2 linked regions of the Caenorhabditis elegans genome follow. The protein of the gene in region 1 purifies or fractionates together with the protein of each later gene. This does not show direct contact. Each region holds a gene or a part of one and is shown on either strand. Other genes may lie near its edges.

What was found.
Region 2: the proteins of slc-25A21 (region 1) and F13C5.3 fractionate together in Caenorhabditis elegans (co-fractionation; one large-scale study listed by BioGRID). This does not show direct contact.

The regions. Positions count from the first base shown.
Region 1 is NC_003284.9:16,188,180-16,195,580, forward strand, and holds slc-25A21 (Mitochondrial 2-oxodicarboxylate carrier), read left to right. Parts: upstream 1-1,676; 5' UTR 1,677-1,690; coding exon 1,691-1,742; intron 1,743-2,674; coding exon 2,675-2,808; intron 2,809-3,292; coding exon 3,293-3,400; intron 3,401-4,635; coding exon 4,636-4,746; intron 4,747-4,832; coding exon 4,833-4,997; intron 4,998-5,772; coding exon 5,773-5,957; intron 5,958-6,610; coding exon 6,611-6,725; 3' UTR 6,726-6,828; downstream 6,829-7,401.
Region 2 is NC_003284.9:595,622-601,132, reverse strand, and holds F13C5.3 (Peptidase_M13 domain-containing protein), read left to right. Parts: upstream 1-1,556; 5' UTR 1,557-1,597; coding exon 1,598-1,691; intron 1,692-1,753; coding exon 1,754-1,871; coding exon of another isoform or gene 1,872-1,875; intron 1,876-2,174; coding exon 2,175-2,334; intron 2,335-2,724; exon of another isoform or gene 2,725-2,837; intron 2,838-3,035; coding exon 3,036-3,175; intron 3,176-3,222; coding exon 3,223-3,368; intron 3,369-3,909; coding exon 3,910-4,031; intron 4,032-4,089; coding exon 4,090-4,224; intron 4,225-4,267; coding exon 4,268-4,428; intron 4,429-4,671; coding exon 4,672-4,819; 3' UTR 4,820-4,905; downstream 4,906-5,511. Other genes in the region: F13C5.2 (Bromo domain-containing protein), read right to left, coding at 5,346-5,511.

The DNA of each region.
Region 1 (7,401 bases):
ACGACTCACGTGGAAAAGGACTCGATACAGCGTGTGGTGTTGTGTGTGTATATGTGTTTTGTTTTGCATTCGACACACCGAAGGACCCAGTTGTCTTATTTTTGCTGTTTCATTGCATTCTGATGATGTTTACTAATATTTTTATAGTGTTTGGTCACTTTCCGTTTTTAGAAACTTTGATTTATTTTTGGAAGTGGCGAGAATGTTTTGAAATGTTGCATTTTTGAGTATGATCTTGTTGTGATATTTTGGAAAAGTTTGGAACATTAGGGGGCTTGATTTTGAAAATTTAAACGTTTATGGAGTTTGAACAAAATTGTTAGGTTTGTAGTTTATTACAGTGAGCTTTGATTTAAATTTTCCCCAATAATTTTTTAAAACGTGCAGAATTACAGTTTTATCAACACAAACAATTTAAACAACAGCTTTTTTATCAGTTAGTTTCTCTTCTTTTTTTTTGATTTTCCGTTTTGTTCGAACAGTTTATCGTTTATAAATTTTAAAATTTGCTTCTCAATTCATTTTAACGTAGGTAGTTTTTTTTTGTAATGTCATAACTTTGTTTTTTGTTGTAGGTTGTACTATGAAATTTGAAAAAGCAAAATTTGTAATTTCTCAGAAAATGAAGAGCAGCAGACATCGATTGAGGCCCGCGATTTGACTACATACACACGTGATGTCAGGCTGCCCCATTACGGTTTAATCTACAAAAAATGCGGAAGTTTTTTGATCAAAAAAATTTGACGTCAGCACGCTCAAAATGATTTGAGAAGTCTGCATCTTAATTCCCGCAATTTTCGGAGATCTGAGTAGATCAAACCGAAATAGGATACTTTGACACCACATGCATGCACAGTTAATTTGTAATTTGCGCATACTGTGTGCACAATGAACTTTTTGTGATTTATAACGGAACACTATGTGCAAATCGCAGAGTTTTGCGGGGCGTGATATGCGCATTGTGCTCCATGTGCAAATTCGTAAATGTACTGTAAAAAATAAAATGCGCAACCTATAACTTTAGGATTCAGTTTCATGTTTTCATCGTACTTTGCTTATTGATTATCGATAACCGATTAAATATTAAAGATCACAGATCAAACTAAATTATAAAATAAAAAAAACAAACTGTTTTCCATATACAACATTTTGTTGATTTTTGCACGTTCTTTTTTAACACAGTATCTGATTTATTTTTCCGTGTTTCTGTGTCTGCAATCAGCGCTCTATCAAAAAAGCGATTTGCAAAACCATTGAACGTTTTTTTGATTCTATCTGTTGGTTTTTCCAATCGACTGTTTTGAGTGAGAACGCAGCCGGCAACACGAGTCTCGGCATCTCGGCAGATGGGAAGAAGAGATAGGTGGTGGACCGTGTTGCAGTTTTCCTTCTCTTTTATTAACGGTTTCTTTGTGCTGCGTTTATCGATTTTTTTTACTTGAATTGGCTTTAAAAACTGCATGGTTTTTACTTGGCATCCCCTCCCCTAGTTTGAATATTACATGGATTTATTAGTGGTAATTTGAGATTTTTTCTTCTGGTTTTCTTTTTCCAATTCTTGTTTATAAACCTATATTTTTGAACTCATTAATTATTTTTAAAATTTAATCTCAACTGTTCTATGTTTTTCACTTTTTCACTTTTCCAATTTGATCCCAGAAATTCGTAACTTTCAGCTGACAAAAAACAAATGGAGAAACTAAAAGAAGGTGGCAGACAAATCACAGCTGGCGGGTCCGCAGGTAAGACCACATGCTTGTGAGGGTTCAATGGGAGAACAACAAATAGTTATTCTTGTCCTTGAATCAAAAAGCAAAGTGACCTCATGACTGGTTGCTCTTTTACTTGAAATTTTTGAAAATTAGAAATGATATGAGCTAGGGTTGTCTTAGGCCGTCCTCTGCACTTTCTGTGGGTTTTATTTGGTGTCGTTTTAACAAGAAACTTTAGCCTCAATTTTGACTCTAGATAGTATTTACCCAAATAATCAATTTTTCTTATTAAAATTAACGTATCAAGTTCGAGAACTTTGGTTTTAAAAAAATTTGGAAGGTGTTGAGGGCGTCCTACCTAACAGATCTAATATGAACAGTTTGAAATAATTTTTAAAAAAATGACCTGTCAAAGTACTTGTGTCATCAAAATTTTACATAGTTCAAGTACACCCAATAAAACCATATAAACGTTCTTTAAGCTTCCCGTAATAAAATCAAAAGTCTACTTTTCGAATAAATCACCCTACTACCATTGTAATTGTTCCAATTCTGTCACCACACCTTTAAGCAGTTTTTCATTGTAAAATCTTCTTGAAAATATCATCTGATCATTAGGTAACCACAAGCTTTTGTAATATAAAAAGTCAAAAATCAAATGATAGCGTCATCAAAAACAAATGTAACAATGAACACGATTTTTGAAAAACATGGGGGTCTTGAAAAAAGTTTGTGAAAAATCAAAAACTCAAACGTAGGAAAAAATGGACTGAGAAAAAAGTTACCTGCAAAAATTGATTTTTGCCCTTGTTTCCATCCGAACACACATCAAGCACAGCTTGTCCGCTAGACATTTATCAATCAAAATAACTAATCTTTGATTGGATACTATAATTTACTAAACCGTTTATTAAAAACAACAAACTACGCAACGAAAAAAAACAAAGTAATCTTCGTTTCAGGTCTCGTGGAAGTATGTCTTATGTACCCATTGGATGTTGTGAAGACGCGACTTCAACTTGGACAACAGGATAAGGGAATGATGGATTGTGTGGTGAAAACGTTGAAAAATGAAGGAATCGGAGGGTTTTACAAGGTTAATTTAAACTTGAAGAAACTAAGATTTCAAGAAATTTCACAGCAAATTCTAGTGTCTGTTTAAAAAAAATTAAAAAAAAAACGTTTTTAAAACCCTAGTTGAAGTGAAATCCTTTTCTGGTTAAGTGATGAAAATAAAAAAAAAACCTTCTTCAACGTTTTATACCAGGTCAGTGTGTCCCATTTGTTTTATCTACGTAGATCTACGAGAATTGCGGGAACTTAGACGCAGACTTCTCAACTGATTTCGCATGGTTAAAAACGTGCTGACGTCACTTTTTTTTCGGAAAAAAATTCCCGCATTTTTTGTAGATCAAACCGTATTGGGACAGCTTGACACCAGGTGTACCAGTAGAGCGCTTATGAGTTCAAAGTTCAAGTTAATCGAGCCGTAATTAAATTCACAAAAAACCAAGGAAGTTTTACAATGCAGTTTATTAAAACTCTATTATTTTTATACCATTCAAATCAGTTTTTTCCAGGGAATCCTGCCACCAATCCTTGCGGAAACACCAAAAAGAGCGACAAAATTCTTCACATTTGAGCAGTATAAAATTGCATTTACTCATTCGGAAATTCCTTTGCCTGTTGTAAGTTGATCTTTTAGCTTTTGAATGAAGAAACAAAGAAAGAAAGTTGTTTGTGCTTTGGTGCATGCTTCTCTCACGTTTAGTATTCGTGAGGTAAATTTTATTTTGGGAAATGTTTTTTTTGGAGTGGAGAAAGAAATAACTTTGTGAAAACTAAGGGGTGTGCATTGAAACTGCTATTTTATAATTCGATTTATGATACAAAAGATACAAAATGTTTTTAAAATGTTTTTTAAAAAATCTAAATCAAGTTTTAGAAATGTTGAAAAAGGAGGTGAAAAAACAAATAGCAAATCAAGAAAAAACTCAAGTCTCCAATAACGGTACTCCACTTTTAAATTTTTTTTTGCTATTTATCTTTAAAGGTGGAGTAGCGCCAGTGGGGATTTTGTCTAAATACACTTATAAAGATCCAAAATGACCAGATATCATAATAAAACACTGCAAAAATTTTAGATTTTTCATAATTTCCGATCAAAGGTTTGGCAAATTGCCAAATTTTTAAAAAATATGTGCTTTTGAGGAAATTCAAAGCAATGTTGCATGTTCCGACTTCTACAATGTTTTAATACGAATAATTAAAACAAAATTACAGTATAAGAAATGTAGAAAACCGATTTGTTTGGACGACTTCCAAAATTATTTTTTATTAGAATGGCAAAAACTGAGTAATTGTCACCTTTTGACAGTAAATAAAAAAAATTTCAAAAATTTTTTGAATAGTTTTATTATGATATTCGGTCATTTCGGCATCATAGGAGTGGTTTTTAACAAATTCCCCACGGGCGCTACTTTATCTTTAATAAGTTAGTGTTGATTGTTTTTTACATTCAGGTAAAAGTGATTTGAACTTTAGATGTTATAAGTTAGAACTTCAGAAAAAAAAAAATAGCTGTATTTATTAATGTTATAAAAAAAATTTTCATGGTTATTATAATATTTTATCATGAGTTCCTCTATGTGCAAAAATAGATTTCGAATTTTAATTCTGTTTACATGCGTGTTTTTATTTTTTTTTTAGGATTTGAACTTAAAGCCAAATTTGTAAACATACGTATTACATAAAAACGCGACAAACTCTATAATCATATTTATCATTTAACTACGCACGCTCTCCCTCGCAAAAATGTTTTCCTTATCAGCTTCCTTATCACTCAATGAGCGAACATTGACCGCGAATTATGACGTTATTGCGTTAAAAATGTCTAATCCTTGTTTTTAAATTCATCTTCCAGACAATGTCATTCGCCGGTCTCTTCTCGGGACTCACCGAGGCCATCGTTATCTGCCCGTTCGAGGTGGTAAAAGTGAGACTGCAAGCGGACAGAAATTCAAGCGTCAAAGAGGTAAACTTTGATTCTCGGGTCTTGTTCGTCGTCTGAGAGCGAGACACAAAACATGCAATGGAAATTATTAATCTTTGGTGTTCCAGCAAAGATCAACGGCGTCGATGGCAAGGGAGATTTATAGGAACGAAGGATTCGGAACCAGTGGACTTTACCGAGGATTGGGGGCCACACTGGGAAGACATGGTGCATGGAATATGGTCTATTTCGGGTTGTATCATAGTTGCAGAGAAGTTATTCCTGATGCCAAGGTAGGGTATGAATCACGGGTGGGCGGCAAAACGGCAATTGCCGTTCGGCAAATTGAATTTGATTTCCGGCAATTTGCCGGTTTGCCGATTTGCCGGAAATTTTTATTTTCGGCAAATTGCCAATTTGCCATTTGCCGAAAATGTTCAGAGGGATTTTTTATAAGACGGAAACTGTGCCTTTTTGAATTTTTCCGTTTTTCCTACATATTTTCATAGAGTTTACTTATTTTCAAAAATAGATGTAGAAATATTCATAAGACGCGTTTAATTTTGCCATTTGAAATTGAAATTCTGAAATTTGCAAAAAAAAATTTCGGCAAATCAGCAATTTGCGGATTTGTTGATTTGCCGGAAATTTCAATTCCGGCAATTTGCCGATTTGCCAAATTGTCGGAAAAAATCGTTTGCCGCCCACCTCTGGTATGAATCGATCAAAATTTTTATATAAATATTACGCATATTTTTTTGAAAAATTCTTTTCAACGTATTTATCAATTGAAAATTAATTTGAAGTGTTCTAAGTTGCTATGTATTAGTTTTGGTTGACATTTCACAGGTAAACGTTTTCATTCAAGCATTTTGCAAATGTAATTTGCATACGTTGGCGCTAAAAATTATTTATTTTTTGGTGGAGCTAATCCAATTATGTGTCTTCTGCAAGAGCACATAACTGTCAATTAAAATTTTTTTTAGAAAACCAAAAAAAACACAAGAAATTTCTTTCAAACTTCTGATTGCTTCCGGTTATTTTCCCCCCAAAGGTTTTTTTCTTCAGCAAAATCCAACATCAAACTTAATTGGAAGAATCGCCTTAGGATTCACCGCCGGATCGCTTGCTTCAATCTTCAACATTCCATTTGACGTAGCAAAGAGCCGGATCCAAGGCCCACAGCCGGACCCATTCACTAGGAAATACAGTGGAACAATGCAAACGATTTCTTTGGTTTACAAGGAGGAAGGGTACGTTTTGTAATGGGGACGAGCGTAGAAATTTTGAAGAAGTTGAGAAAATGTATTGAAAATTTGGAAATCGGCAAAACGGTCCAACTTCATAAAATACTCCTGCAGCTTCTTAGAGACCGTGGAACAGTTTAGCTTTTTTACAAATTCTTGTAGTTTTAAGACGATTTTTGAAATTTCTTCGCAAGAATTTAAGCTAAATTTTGCTCAAAAATGCGTTGATTTCTGCAAGTTCCTAACAGTTTTGACAAAGTTTTATAAATGTTCTTGTCAAGTTGCAGGAGTTTTTTACGAAGTTGCGACGCAAAACCATAGAACTGTTACTCCCTTTTTTGCACGTGGTGTCATAGTGTCTCATTTCGGTTTGATCTACGTAGATCTACAAAAAATTCCGCCAGAACAGACGCAGAGTTCTCAACTGAGTTTGCATGATTAAGAACATGCTGACGTCATTTTTTTGAACAAAAAATTCCAGCATTTTTTGGAGACCAACCTGACACCACGTGTTTTTGCTCACAATGCCACAAGTTTTTTGAGAACATTGTGGAATACGTAGCACTTCAGTAAACTTCTGGGGTTTTTATATAAAACTTTCATATGATAATATCAATCAGTCTTATATGAACTAGTGTTCTAAAATGCCTAAATTCCAGATTCGGTGCTCTGTACAAAGGACTTCTTCCCAAAGTGATGAGACTAGGACCTGGTGGAGCTGTTATGCTGATTGTCTACGACGAAGTTTACTCTTGGCTCCAGAAAAATACCTAAACTTTTAAATCATCTTTTCCGCAAATGTGACTGAACTTTATTCCACATATTTTTGTATCGAGTATCAAAAACTGACAAGTACAATAAAGCGAATTGAGAGGGTAACTGGCTGTTATCGGCAAATCATTGACAAGAGTAAATGGGATAAAGGAAATTGAAAACGTTTCTAATACGAACATGCTAGCAGAATGATGAATTGGATAGGAAAATAATGATAAGGTCGAGAGAATTGAATAGTTTGAATTGAACAACAAAAAATGGGTTGCAGTATCAGGAAGATATGCAAGGGGTACAATTGAAATGATACACCAGGATTATAATAAATTATGAAGAATTTTCGAAAATTTTAAAGCAGAAATACAGGTATATATGTAGATTAAGAATATTGTTTTGCAAGTGCATTGATATAAATAAGAAATTGTGTCATTGAATGAAATTGTAGTTATTATTTGATAAATATTGCTCAATTATTGAGCCAAGCGCTAGAAGGTACCGTCAAACGTTTTGGAAACCAAGTGTTGGATATTAGAGCCCAATTGCTATTTGAAAAGGTAATAAACGAGATAATGAATGCTCAAACTGATGTTAGTAATTTTATGGTGGAAAGAAAATGAATAAAGTTGGAGGGTTAGTTGGTTTTTGAAATTAATTGAATTAATGAGAAATCCTATAGTTT
Region 2 (5,511 bases), about 16 Mb from region 1:
GCAAACTACGGCAGGTTTTTCTTCCGTTGACTTACTTTTATATTTAAAATTTAACCAAAGCAATCGGCAGCAAAAACAATACTAACCGAAAATATGAGGAATGCTTTTTACGAAATTCAAATATGAAGAGGATAACATGATGAAATAAGTTTCATAAAATGAGCAAAAAGAGTCAATCACAATAATTTTGAAAGATCGAATGATGACATATTCATGTGACCACAAAATCTTGTGACCACACTTAAAAGCTGCACAACTCGTTCTTTTTCCGTTTGCAGACTACACATTTTTGATTCAGAAATTGGAAACATACACTTTCACGTGTGTGTGTAATTGTGCTAATCATTTATGTAAACAGAAAGGTGGCACAAATAGAAAACGCTCATTAAAAGTTGTATTGAAAAATGGGAGTTTGCTAACAATTCTGCAAACAATTTTGCAAATTTTCAAAAATTGCGTGTTCCAGATGGAATGTCAAAAGGTTGCCGGTGGTCGAAAAGTTGCCGGTTGCCGAAATTTTTAGAGTTAGGCAACTTCGGCAATTGCCGGTTGCCGAAAATCTCGGTTGCCACACATCCCTGGTATGCGCCAATCGAAAATGTTTAAACTGGGCAGTGTTCTTGAAATTAAATATTGTAAGCTTGATATAATTTTCAATTTTCGTTAGTTTTTCGTTTTTTTTTAGAAGCAATGACTCGGTAAAATTTGGCACACTGGAAAAGCGAACATTTTGCCCAAAAAATGCAGGCAATTATGTACATTTTTAAATCTATTGAAATTTTGAAATTTTTATCTTTTGTAGTTTTGAAATAGCAGTATTACTTTCAGGGTTTGAACGGTTTTTCGGGGAGTTCATCCGATGAAAACGTTTGGGTTACTGTGGAGACACTAAAACTTTACACTTAAAGATTGAGTAGCGGTAATGATGATTTTGTCTAAATACACTTATAAAGATCTAAAACGACCGAATTTTATAATAGAACACTCAAAAAAATTCCAGATTTTTATAATCTCTGGTTACAGTTTTGGCAAATTGCCAAAATTTAAAAAAATAGTTTTTGAGGAAATCCAAAGCAATAGCACATGATCCGACCCTTACAATGTTTGATGACAAACGTTAAAAACAAAATTACAGTATAAAAAAAGTAGGAAAAAAATTTTTTTGGTCGACTTCCAAAATTACGAGGGGTAAAAACTGAGTAATTGTCACATTTTGACCGTAACTAAAATATTTTCAAAACTTTTTTGAGAAGTTTAATTATGATATTTGGTCATTTTGAGATTATAGAAAGAGTTTTTTACACTTCCTCACTGGCGCTACTCCACCATTAAAATAAATTCACAGAGATTCGGAAGTTTAATTATTTTTAACTGATTAACATAATTGTTTAAGATACCTCAAAAGATTCCGAATAATTATCTCCATACGGTTCACTGTCTCAATTCCCTAAGACTGAGCAAAGAGTGTCAAAACAGCAATTTCAAGCTTCAGGAACCAGATTCAAACAAAGTGCGAGCGGGGCAAGGTGTTTGTCCAGTGGCATTCGTATAAAACCACACCGTCATCGGAGAAATCCGTTCCTAATCCCTCTGTATTATGATATTTTGCCGGTTAATCCTAGTTTTCTTATTTCAAATTTCATGTTCCAAAAAAATAAATTTCGACAAAGTGTACAAAGATGCTATGTACGGTAAGTTACAGTAACGAAAACGTTTTGCAAAGTAAATATTAGATAAGTTGAGTTTTTTACAGCAAGTTTTCTGAAATCCGAGTTCAACTATACTTCTTTTCTAAGACGAGCCGATCACTCTGCTGAACGATATGTTCCTTTTCAGGATACTAGTAATGACACTTTTTTCAAGGTTGGAATGTAAGTTCTGATAAAATATTCAACAGTTTTATTTAGAAATTTGAAGAATACTCACATTTTTTAAAAAGAAGGTCAAAATCGTGCGGTTTTGGCAAACATTGTTGAGGAGAAAATTTTTGACTGTCCTTTGCAGGTCCAAAAAAATATGTCCAAAAAATTTTTCACACTGAAACTAACAAGCCCACGCAACATTTAAGCAAAGACTTAATTACGTAAAGTTTTTGAAATCTGTGCAAACAAAGCCGTATAGTTTAACTATTTTCAGTGTAGAGTGTAAGACTAGTAATGAGATTCAACTTTCAGTCTTCATAAATCTCAACTTGAAAATTATACGAAAATACGAATGGAAGATCAGTTAGGAACATTAAAAAACAAACCCTGGATGCCTATCAATGAAATCCGTGAGGAATTTGCAAATTGTGCACTATTGAAGTTTGGCTCGTTTAGTGAACATGATTTTAAGGTATGTTTTGGAGAAGGAGTAAAATTGAAAGAAAAAGTAAATTGCAAATACTTAAAAAAAAACAACATGCAGAAAAAATTTTAAAGTGATTTTTTTCAAATGCGCAATTTAGTTAAAAATATTTGTAATACCTAGAATTAAAAAAAACAAATTATGAATTTTGAAGTCTATTAAAAATAGTTGTTCTATTGTTTTTGTTTTGTACGATAAAATTATAATAGAAAGTACTACGAAATTAGGAAAACAACTATTTTTAACAAGGAGTAAGGATATTTTTAAGCGACATGCAATAATATCACTCTATGAGCAGTGTAAAATGCCAAAACATTGAGACAAATTGCTCATGACTCAGCCCTACCGGAAAAATTACTTCCTAAACGTTCAAGTCAGAGATGGGCGGCCAACAGTTTTTCCGTCAAGTCGGCACATTGGCAATTTGCCGAATTTGCCGGAAAAACGGCAATTGCCAAAAATTGGGCAACTTCTGGTTTTGCACATTTTTTTAACGGGAAAAAAATTCAAAAAAGCAAAGCTTTACGAGTTTATGTTTTATAAAGGACATTTCCGGCAAATCTGATAGTGATAAATTGGATCACAAATTAAAGCCGTTCAAAAAAAAAAAACAGTAGGAATTTTCGACATATTTTTCGACTCTAGTATGACATCATCTCGGTCCACCTCCACAATTGTCATTGTTTCAGTACGACAAAGGAATGTATGGGTGGATGAATATCATGAAATTTTCATGTGCCCGAGTCCTGGACCAATATCTCGTCTTTGGAATGGCTTTCACTAGAACTAGATTCAGGTTGAAACAAGTGATACTAAAGCGACAAAACACGTGAGCTGAACAATGATTTTGATAGAAGGAGTATATCTTTTTTACAGACATTGGGCAACTTCCGGGCGTAGTCTGATAACAAGAGATGTACAGAAAATTACTGAGATATTTACAATTAGATTTGGGCAATTTGTAAACGAAAAACTTGAAGACGAGTTGAGAAAACATGCAATTTCAACAAAAAATATTGCTGGTGAGTTCAACATGCCAATAAAAATTTTTAGCTAAATTTTTTTGGTCGAGTTGAAGGAAAAAGGTTTTAGATTCTTTTTTAAAAAAATTTTGTTTGTATTGATGAAATTATGAATTTACATGTTCTTATTGTTAGTGAGTAAATTAAATTTGACTTTAAAACTGAAGGTAATTTGTGTTTTAATTTGTAAGCTAAACTTTATTCTACCTGATATTAATTCTGGAAACAAAATTAGACGGTAAATTCAAAAAAATTAGTTTCCAGCCGCTGCGACGTTGACAAGTTAGTTAAATTTCATATTTTAGCTAATTTTAGCTAATTTTTTGAGCCGCCATAACTTTTGTTTGAGAAGTTTTCAAGAAGTTTCATCATGAAGTTCAGTGTTTTCAGACAATTTCGAGTCTAATGAAGCAATATAAAAAAATTCCACTACGACGCCTTTAAAACATTTAAGTTACATCGTCAAAGCAAATTTGACTTTCAGTTAAAAGAAAACAATTGTTTGAAAATGCTGCAATTCTCAACAGCTATAAAGTTGCAGGTAACCCACTGAATCTAAAAAATGACACGTTTGAAGAACTTGCTGTAGCATATGGACGGCTCAGAAAACACATCAAGCTTTCAGACAGCCGTGGACACACCTTCAGTACATTGGCATTTGGGGTAGAATAATTTCACAAGTTTTAAATTGCTATTTACTGCAACTCCACTCAACTTTCAGATAAAGTCACGAATTTTGGTGACATCACCCAGTCATGCTCCACAAGCGGTTGAAGCAATATCCGATGAGCTCAGTGATGCTCCGCTGAAGGTATTGGACACGTGTCATAAAGATATTTGCACATATGATTACATGGTGAGAGCTGTTCGAACAATCGAAGAAAAAGTATAGTTTTCAGAAAAATGCAACATTTAATCCAAAAACTGAAACATACAGTTACGTGAAGGAGAATGCATTAATCAACACAGTTCATCCCAGATACTCACTCATTGCTTTTCAAAAATCCAAGCCTTACTTTACATTTGAAAAAATGAAACGTAAAACTGCAACCAAAATTATGTAAGCTCGTCAAAGATTTAAAGGTTTTGAAATTTTATTGATATCATAACCAGGAGTGGACGGCAAATTTTTTTGTCGACGAATTTGGCAAATCAGCAACATGCTGGTTTGCCGATTTGCCGATTTGCCAAAACTTTTCAATTCCGGCAAATTTCCGAATAAATTTAAAAATTACAAATTTTTTCGTAGATTTGCAAAACGCATCCGCTCATTCCTTTAATTAATATTCTAAATTATTTTCAGCGATGTCAAGCAAAACCTGGACACTAAAGCAAAAAATCTCTGGTCATCATTGTTGGATCAACAATTTACATTAGCCATTCATGTGCACAATCAGGAACTTTTCCCATTTGATCAATTTTTCATGACATTGAAGCCACCAATTGACTGATTAACAAGAATTGAAAAAAAATATTTATTTTGATGTAATTTATTTTTTTGAACATTTGATTCAAAATACAGATTGGAGATAAATTTTTATATAGTACTATATTGCTGATTTGTGCTCATTTATTTTGTGAGTGGGGGAATGATTTCCGATTGGAAAAGTTTGGTGGACCAAATTGAGGTATAAAATGAGGAATAGGGTGGAAAGGGAAACGCTGAAAAAGCATTAATTGTCAAATAAATTCATAAGGGTCGATTGAGATTCATAATACAAAAAGAAGTATCGGGATAATGTTTCTTACAACTGAAGGAACTGCATGACAAATTGGAATACTTTAGGAATAATCTCTAAATGAGTGGGTGGGTATTTAAGAGATGCATACATTGGTCCAAGTTGAAAATTGTTTACAAAAAGCGGCTGGGAATCAGTTGACATGGTTTTAGTGTGAAATAAAAGATGATTACTGTTTTGAATTCGTTTTTATCAGTATACTGTATTCCCAACAGCATTTCTGAAGTTGAATTTGTGCCTAGGCATGACTCTCTCCCGTAGTGGAGTCTGCGGCATGTCCGGCAATCTCCGACTCGCCGATGTGTATCGGGTGTGCTCCTGAAATTTCTCCCAGAGCTTGAGCTTCGGATGACTGAATTGAGGAATGCTCGGCAGCTGGCTCTGGCATCGCGGCTTCTGGATGC